2 linked regions of the Schizosaccharomyces pombe genome follow. The protein of the gene in region 1 purifies or fractionates together with the protein of each later gene. This does not show direct contact. Each region holds a gene or a part of one and is shown in the gene's direction. Other genes may lie near its edges.

The links.
Region 2: the proteins of rna14 (region 1) and prp28 purify together in Schizosaccharomyces pombe (affinity purification with western blotting, with the first as the bait; one study listed by BioGRID). This does not show direct contact.

What each region holds. Positions count from the first base shown.
Region 1 is NC_003424.3:1,347,099-1,351,731, forward strand, and holds rna14 (cleavage and polyadenylation specificity factor complex subunit Rna14), read left to right. Parts: upstream 1-1,665; 5' UTR 1,666-1,681; coding exon 1,682-3,773; exon of another isoform or gene 3,774-3,816; coding exon 3,817-3,926; 3' UTR 3,927-4,133; downstream 4,134-4,633. Other genes in the region: TRAMP complex ATP-dependent RNA helicase subunit Mtr4, read right to left, coding at 1-1,344. UniProt on the Schizosaccharomyces pombe protein: Component of the cleavage factor IA (CFIA) complex, which is involved in the endonucleolytic cleavage during polyadenylation-dependent pre-mRNA 3'-end formation.
Region 2 is NC_003421.2:854,991-860,116, forward strand, and holds prp28 (U5 snRNP-associated protein Prp28), read left to right. Parts: upstream 1-2,026; 5' UTR 2,027-2,162; coding exon 2,163-4,151; 3' UTR 4,152-4,302; downstream 4,303-5,126. Other genes in the region: dolichol kinase Sec59, read right to left, coding at 1-936, 994-1,232; proteasome core particle subunit beta 3 Pup3, read right to left, coding at 4,789-5,126. UniProt on the Schizosaccharomyces pombe protein: ATP-dependent RNA helicase involved in mRNA splicing. May destabilize the U1/5'-splice site duplex to permit an effective competition for the 5'-splice site by the U6 snRNA, resulting in the switch between U1 and U6 at the 5'-splice site.

The sequences.
Region 1 (4,633 bases):
CATTTTTACGATTTTGTAAATATCAGAAGGTCCTTTGACACCGCCTTTTCCGGTCTTTCCTTTCTTTGCATTACCTTTAGTAGCCATAGCGGCAGGGTCATCGCCTTGTTTTTCCATCAATGCACTCATTGCTCTTTGAAAGTTTTCTTCTCGGAAATTACTTTTCTCATCAACCACTAAATGAATGCCATCGCTACCGCTAGGGAATAGGTAATGTTGAAGAGGCGTAGGTCGAAAATCTGTATAAACTACATGACAAGGCTGACGATGAATTTTTGTAATCCATTCAGCAAATTGCATAGCATTTGGAATTGTAGCAGACAGGAAGACAAAATGTGATTTGTCGGGTAATAAGATAATGGTCTCTTCCCAAACAACACCGCGCTCTTTGTCACGCATGTAGTGAATCTCATCAAAAATAACCCACGCAACTTCACGCATAACCTCTGAACCACGATACAACATTGAACGGAGAATTTCAGTGGTCATAACCAAACAAGTAGCATCTGGATTAATAGTAACATCACCAGTCATAAGACCGACATCTCCAAATTCAGCAAGAAGTTCTCGATACTTTTGATTACTTAAAGCTTTGATAGGACTTGTATAAATAACTCTCTGTTTATCACGAAGCGATTGAGCAACTGCATATTCTGCAACAACAGTTTTACCAGCAGATGTATGAGCACTGACCAAAACTGATTCTTGACGCTCAATACAGGCAATAGACACTGCTTGAAAAGGATCCAAAGTGAAGGGATATGTGCGCGCAGGGGGTATGGGACTTTTATGTTTAGAGATAGGTACATAATCATAATTTGGAGGAATAGAGACTTGATGACGGACCTGATGACGAAGTTCTACAACTTCTTCAGTAGATGATTTAGCTTCGGTCATCCCAACCTTCCCAGCAACTTGTAATGATGCTTCCTGCTCAAAAGAATCAGCTACCGTAGCCTCAGGTATAGTATCGCCTTCGTTTTTTATAGATACTTCATTGGAAATATCATCAGCAGCAATGTCTCCTATTTTTGGCTTATGTTTGGTATCAGCGACTGCAGAATTGTTAATATGAATTCCGTTAACATCATTGTTAGGAATAAGGTCTTGGTTATCCTTCAGATTTTCGATTTTAGCTCTTTTAGTTGCAGATTCTTGTTCCCCTACTGAAGACTCCAACTTTTTTGTACCTTGCTCTTGGTTAGAGGCATTTTTATCTGTTAAAGTACGCTTTATTTTTTGTGAATTTTGTGAATTTTGTGAATTTTTAGATTCCTCCTTTAAGCTTTTTGGAACTTTACCTTCAAAGACTCCAAAAGCATCATCTAACTCACCACCAAACATCACAATTAAAAAGATTTCTTAAACTGCAATGTGGAGTTGGTGTTGGCAAAAATCTGTTTTTTCTCTGTTTACGAAAGATGTATTAGCATTTGTTAAATAAATTATACTACTTGATTCACTAAGTTACCTAAAGTATTGAAGCGTGAGCCTCACAAAATAGAATTAAGCACTGTGAAGTTTCTCCCAAATGTAGACAAATTTCCTTTATAACCAGCATTATGAAGCTTGCAAGTTGATTAAAAGTATTGAATGTTACCTCAATGTTACTGAAGTAACAATTTCTGTATGTATCAAATGCGAGAAAGCTGTGTGAATTCTACCAGCGAATACTTAAATTATGAATTCTGATGACAATGTCGAAGCCGATGCTAGCTCGAATATTATAAAAGATTCTCCAAAAATTAAAGAACAAGAAAATACCTCAACAGTTAATGAGAGTGATGTATTAGCAACTTCGACGACTGCCAGTAGTGGTGTAAAACGAAAACGTCTCCCAAATGACCTTGTAGGACAATTACGGGATAAAATACAAGAGAACCCTAACGATATTTCTTCTTGGTATGCACTGGTAGAAGAGTATGGATCTAAGGGGAAGCACGAAGAGTTAAGAGAAACTTATGAACAAATGTTGCGACCTTTTCCTTACGTTCCACGAGTTTGGGTTGATTACATTAGTTCTGAGCTTGCCTTTAACGATTTCCATGCCGTTGAATTGTTATTTAGTCGATGCCTTGTCAAGGTTTTATCGGTTGATTTATGGACGTTGTACTTAAGTTACATTCGTCGAATAAATCCAGATGGTGAAGGACAATCTCGTTCTACAATTACTCAGGCTTATGAGTTTGTAATAAATACTATTGGTGTTGACATACTCAGTGGCCCTATATGGTCTGAGTTTGTGGATTTTTTACGTTCTGGCCCAGCTAATTCAACATGGGAGCAACAACAAAAACTAGATCATGTTCGTCGAATTTATCAAAGAGCTATCACTACACCTATCCATAATATTGAAAAACTTTGGCGTGATTATGATGCATTCGAAAATAGTGTAAACAGAGCAACGGCCAGAAAATTTGTAGCTGAGAAGTCTCCTGTTTATATGGCGGCGCGGGCAGCAATGAGGGAACTTTCAAACCTTACAGAAGGACTCAGAGTTTACGATTTTACCTTTGAACGTAAGTATACAAAAGTTGAAAGAATAGCGTATTCCCGTTGGATGAACTGGATTAAATGGGAACAAAGTGATCCATTAGATTTACAACATGGCACGATGTTACAGAATCGAATTGCTTATGCCTTTGAGCAAGCGATGTTGTATGTTCCCCTTTGTCCGCAGATATGGCTCGATGGATTTTCTTACTTTTTGAGCATTTCGGATGAACAGCGTGCTCTTCAAACTATTCGTCGCGGAATGCGTTATTGTCCTTCAAATTTTGTTTTACACGTTCGCTACGCGGAACATGAAGAAGCGAATAACCGTACATCTGAAATCCGCTCTACCTACGAATCTTTAATTGCAGCTTTAGCTCGGGAAATTAGTCAATTGGACTCCAAAGCATCGTCGTCCTCTGAAAGCTCAACAGATGGAAACCCTCAAGAAAAAAAATTACCTGAACACCTAGTAAAGCGTAAAAGTAGACTTGTTCGTCAATACAGTCTTGCTTGGTGTTGTTTAATAAATGCTATTAGGAGGACTGAAGGCGTGAAAGCAGCTAGAGCTATATTTACCAAAGCTCGAAAAGCACCATATCAGTCTCATGAGATATATATAGCTAGCGCGATGATGGAACATCATTGTTCGAGGGATCCGGTTATTGCCTCTCGAATTTTTGAGTTGGGTATGAGACATTTTGGAGATGTTCCAGCCTATGTTTATAAATATTTGTCATACTTAATAGCTATAAACGATGAAACTAATGCTCGCGCGCTATTTGAGAAAGCCATCCCGAGGATTGCAGCTGATGAAGCTAAACCCATATATCAAAAATGGCTTGACTATGAAAGTAATTATGGCGATTTGAATGCAGCTATAGCACTTAGTCAAAGAATGGCTGTTGTTTACCCTCAAGAGTCCACACAAGCCATATTTTTATCGCGCTATGGCTTGAAGGATGATGCTGAGGAAGAAGAACGGGAAACAAAAGAAGCGGAAAAAATTAGAGAACTATCTGTTCGCTTAAATGGAGGAAATGGATTCCCGGGCCATGTTCATAACAACAGGGAAGATGATGAAGTTTCTATAGCCTCTACCTCTTCTAAAAGTAACGTCGAAATGGAAGATACTCGTTTACTTCCTGCGTCTTTGGAATTAGCAAACACTCAAGGAGCATCGAATCCACCTACTTCAGCACTTCCAACTGTTCCGGTACCGTTACCATCTATAATAACCGAATTTTTGGATGAACTCCCAGCTCCTCAAGTAATAACTGGTATGTTGCATAATTGCGCGTTTATTGACTAACTATCTTTTAGGTCCTCGAATCCAACCAACAAAACTTATCGATCATATTATTAAATCAGATATCCCTTTCATTCGTTTACGAAATGCAAATGCACATTTGAAGCGTGCCAGATTTAATTAAAAATTTAGACTATTGCAAAGAAATTTTCTGCACTCTTTCCATTTTTGGTGGTGAGCAAAGTGAACTAATAATGAAATAAAATTAAGTTTTAGGAATGATCGATGTTAAATTACAGCGCCAAACGATATAGGTATATTTTAAAGACGAGTTTATTGTATTACTCAATTTTATCTTTTTTTTAATATATTAATCGTTACAAGAGCAAAGCAATGTGAATTTAGATTTGAGGTTTTGGGTCAAGTATGTAAAATGATTTCGCAAATCATAAAATTCACTTTGGTATTGAATATAATTAGAAACTTTAATCGACGCTGAACCCTTACTTTAAAATTTCCTTTTTTGCTAATTATTCTTAATTTGTGAGGAATGAAGTTTGAGCTTCATCGCATTTCGCATTTAAATATGGTAACCGTTCTTATATTAAACTTAACCGTATTTAAAGTGGTGCATGAAGCATAACTACAGTAAAATTATGTTAAATCAATTTTTAAATTACAGTTGACTCGACACAGAGTACAAAGTTAACTATCCGCTTATTATCTTAAATTTTCTATTTGAAGCTTGTAAATTATATGAAAAGTATTTATTGGGAACTACCCATCGATAACATGATGTTTTCCGTAATTTAATATAAGCAATTATGTGATAATACTAATTTTCTTTTCTTTTTTGTAATGTATTCGACCGCAACTTCATGTTCTTAAATT
Region 2 (5,126 bases), on another chromosome or scaffold:
CAAATAGGAATTGCACAACCAATTAAAAGATATATATGGGAAATAATCAAGGGGCCCTTGTGATCCCTGTTATCGGTATACTCCCATAAAAATTCATGGATCATTTTTCCAAATGGCTTAAGACGAAGTATGCGTATACCTTCAACAAACAGAAATATGAATAAAACTCCCGAAAAAGACAGGTGGAGAAAATGAGGATCTAAGCAACAAACCGGAAGAAATAAAAAGACAACCAAAGCATGATATGTCTTTCTACGAAAGTTCAGCACTTCATCTTCAGTGGTAAAGTATTTGCCAAGTGGATTATTACGGTTGCTTCGCAGAAGAATAAAAATAAAACAACCAAGGCAAATTATCCACCAAATAATTATTTTAATCCTCGTTAGGGAATTCCTATGCGAAAAAATTTGGTTGAACAACCATACTTCAGGTGCTTGTCCAAGTTGCCCAGCAACCCATGACCTGGACACTAAAAATACGAGCAAAGCGCTAAAGAAATAAATTAAACAAGTAGTAAAGAGTGCCGATAAATGTAATTTAGCAGCAAGCTTTAATATGCAAAGGTTTAACAAAATGAGTGTAGGTAAGGAAATGAGTAAAACTCCCGATAGCACTGAAACTACAGGAGATACTTCATACGAAAATGTAGCAAAACAAAGACCTGTAAGTCCGGTACAAATTAAAATGCCTTCAATGAAGGTAAAACTGTTTTGTGTAATTTCAAGAAAGGCAAGGATGACCGTTTCGTGAAGTTTTAAATTAACACTCGAATTACCCAGTCCATCTAAAACAATAGAGAGCCATTTCCATCTTTGTGTTAAGGACAAAAGAGCGTTGTAAAGACATACCGTGTACATCTCATGATACAAGACAGAGTTTTCTCCAAAGCCGACATAGAGGATACAAAAGGGAAACGATGATAACCACAATAACGGCCTAAATAATGAGTTAGTTGACTTAAGTTTAAAAATTTAATTGTTCGTAAAATCGTACTCATATAGCTGGATTATGCTAGACGAACCCAATAAATAAAAGCATGCAGGTAAAAAAAAGGACGCATTTGAAATTTGGAGGAACTTTTTGCCAGAGTTGCATAAGAAAGGAATGAATAAAACTGAAAATATTTCCAAAATACTTTCAAAATTCCGATGTTGATAATTCACTTCAACACATTCTTGCTCACGATCAATCTTTTCCGACGTATCATAACATTTTTTCGACATTATATACATTAAAAATCAACAAACAGTTAGCCAACAGAAATGATGTTTTTCATTAACAGAGGATTTGCTAAATAGCAACAATTGCAAAAAATCGTTAGATTGCTAAGTACTCTTATAACCAAAACATCAGATTCTCAAGTATTTTTATTAGGAAAGCGTTTTTTAAATGTTTAAGAATTAACAACCTCCAGTAATTTCAACTTTAATCGGTTTAGAGGAAAGCGTTTGTAGGAGGTGTTGATATTACCAGTAAAGTACTATATGGAGACAACTGTTACATCGAATATTACGATCAAGATTCATTTCAATAAGAAAATTGAGGATTTGTTTATATCTTGAAGATAAACTAATTTCTCTCTCTCATTAAGTACTACAATAAGTTGAGAACATTGAAATATTGAAACTGTCAGCCTAGTAGTAAAACGTTGATTTGAAAGAATGATCATAGTTTGTTTGAATGAATTTCATAAACTTGTTGAAATAAGAGTAAAAAGAATTAAATGAATTTGTAAAACAATTGGGATTTATAAAGCAATTTAATGCGCCTTTTCTAGCAGCCAAATGGGTTTCCCAGTCAATTTTTAGAACAATTTCTGTAAGTAACCAGAAATGCCTTCAAATTCACTAGAATCTATATCGTTTTTATTACAAAGAATGAACATTCTTTAATGTAAAATGAACCTTGATAAAAATGAGCCATTTATTTACATTGGATTTTTAAAACATATATTGAATTACGATGAGTTTGGCAACCACGCTATACTGCAGGTATATTTAAAACACGATTTTGTCATTTGCATAACACCAACACGTTCATTGAAGGATTGTTTAGTTTAAAGACAGGTCTATTCATTTCTTTTGTATTATTTGGGATTGATATCCTAGAAAAATAGAAGAATTGTGAGTATCGTAAAAGTCTTTTTCTTTTGAAGCGTGTTCATGACAGCGCAAGACTCTATACCTTCGCTGGAGCAGCTTGTTCAGCAAAAAAGAGTTAAGGAAGAGAAGGCGGCGAGACCAAAGTTTTTATCCAAAGCTGAAAGAGCTCGATTGGCCCTTGAAAGACGACAAAAAGAGGTTGAAGAAGCGAAAGCAAAACAGAATGACAAATTATTAGATTTAAGAAAAAGGACTTTTACCAATCATTTAGAAAATAATGAATTAGCAGATGATGAAAAAAAATCCCAGGTATCCTCTGTATCTAGCAATAACAGTGGCACAGAGAGCTCCGCAACGGACGAAGCATTCAGCATGACCATTCGTCAAAGGTACATGGGTATAAAGCCTCCTGTGGTAAAAAAAAGAAGAAGAAATGCTGATAAAAAATTTGTATTTGATTGGGACGCCACAGACGATACCATGAAGGATGCGGAAACCTCGGCATCACCTGAGGCTACAATTGCTGTATTTGGAAGGGGGAAATTAGGCGGATTTGATGACCAGTCGATTCGAAAAGCGAAAAGTAATTCTGGTTTGATTCAGCGTTTGCTTCAAGGAACGGAGCAGGATAAGGCTCGCGCACACGAGTTGATTCAGCTTCAAGAAAAACGAGCCAAAAAAATAGATTGGGACGATGTGCCATGGAGGGAAAAGCCATTGGAAGCCATGAAACCCAGAGACTGGAGAATCCTCAAGGAAGATTATAATATATCCATTAAAGGGGATGATTTACCAAATCCTTTAAGAAATTGGGAAGAAGCAGGCTTACCAAGTGAGATGCTTAAAGTTTTGAAGAAAGTTAACTATAAAGAACCAAGTTCTATTCAAAGGGCAGCCATACCTGTTTTACTACAGCGTAAAGATTTAATTGGAATTGCCGAAACTGGTAGTGGTAAGACTGCCGCCTTTATAATCCCTCTCATAATTGCCATATCAAAATTGCCCCCATTAACCGAATCAAACATGCATCTTGGCCCATATGCTGTAGTTTTAGCACCAACACGTGAATTGGCCCAGCAAATTCAAGTGGAAGGCAACAAGTTTGCGGAACCTTTGGGTTTCCGGTGTGTTTCTGTCGTTGGTGGTCATGCTTTTGAAGAGCAATCATTTCAAATGAGTCAAGGTGCTCATATAGTTGTAGCTACTCCTGGTCGTCTTCTTGATTGTCTTGAAAGACGGCTATTTGTTCTCAGCCAATGCACTTATGTTGTAATGGACGAGGCGGATAGGATGCTTGACATGGGATTTGAAGATGATGTTAATAAAATTTTGTCATCACTCCCTTCCTCAAATGCTTCTGAAAAGGATGGGTCAATTCTTGCTACTGCAAATTCCTCTTCGTCAAGACGTCAAACCATTATGTTCAGTGCGACCTTACCCCCACGTGTTGCTAATTTGGCAAAGAGCTATTTAATTGAACCAGTGATGTTAACTATTGGAAACATTGGCCAGGCAGTTGACCGCGTTGAACAGCGTGTTGAGATGATATCTGACGATAGCAAAAAATGGAGAAGAGTTGAGGAGATTTTGGAATCTAATCGATTTTCACCTCCTATTATCATATTTGTAAATCTCAAGCGTAATATCGAGGCTATTGCGAAGCAATTAAATGCCATTGGTTGGCATGCTGTTACTCTTCATGGCAGTAAAAGTCAAGAACAGAGAGAGCGAGCTATCGAACAGTTAAGGAATAAGACGGCTGATATTCTTGTTGCAACTGACATTGCAGGTCGTGGTATTGATATACCTAATGTCTCTTTGGTATTGAATTACAACATGGCTAAAAGCATTGAAGACTATACCCATAGAATTGGTCGTACAGGTCGTGCAGGAAAATCTGGTACAGCAATAACGTTTTTGGGACCAGAGGATACTGATGTATATTATGATTTACGCGTGTTATTAAGCCGAAGCGCGAAAGCACATATTCCTGATGAATTACGGAATCATGAAGCAGCATTTGTTAGACATGCAGCAATCACCCAGTAAATATTGTCTTTGGAGCATAACATTGAATGGGCACTTTATAATGGCCTTTTTGTACGTTACACTATGCTGAAATATGATTTAGTGATTTATTATAAAGTTTTCTTGTATATAAACAGTTTCTAATTTAATGACTTCAACAATTGAAAAAGTTAGTTTATTTCTTAAATCCTTGTAAGTGTGCTTACAGCAAGCAATCCTTAGTCTTAGTCTACTGCATGTACGAAAATTATTTACAAGCATCTATGCATTGTGTGTATTTAATGGATAAAATTTCGCACTAATAAAACGTACAGAAGAAAGTACACCCTGCTTGTATACGATAAGAGTTTTACTTGTACAATAACCATTTAGGAAAATTTTGATTATTGAAAATGCTCACAAGCTAAAAGAAAGGATGACAGTTCAAGCTCGGATATCCACAAAGGCTGAGCAAAAAAAGGCGAGTATAATCGTTATCATATTGCTACGAACAACTTCATTGAAGTTTCCATTCCGAAGGGATTGTCAGAAACTGGTCTAAATCATGCCTCATGAAAAAATGTATCCTAATTTAATTTTTTAAAATTTCGTAGCAAGACTTACATTAAAATGATGAAAGAATCTAGATGAAAACGAAAGATCGTAATCGTGAAAGTGCTTAATCTTGGCGACCCTTAACAAGTCGTTTGATACATTTGTCTGCGGTGATAACATAAACGACACAGCCCCATCCACTAATACAATCACGATCTTGGGCGTTAAGTAAAGCTTGGGAGATAGTCTCAAAGAGATCGTCAGGCTCTAAATTGGGCTCGTATACAGACTCACACATACCATAAAGTTGTTCTGTAGCGGTTCCAGAAACGATGAAATCCTCTGCAAAATCGATGCATCCAATGGAATCGAATCCACAGATAAACGGGGTATTGTCATTAGATACACCAGCAACTACTGGGAATGAGAAATAGGGACCAAATCTTTTTTCGTAAAGGGTGG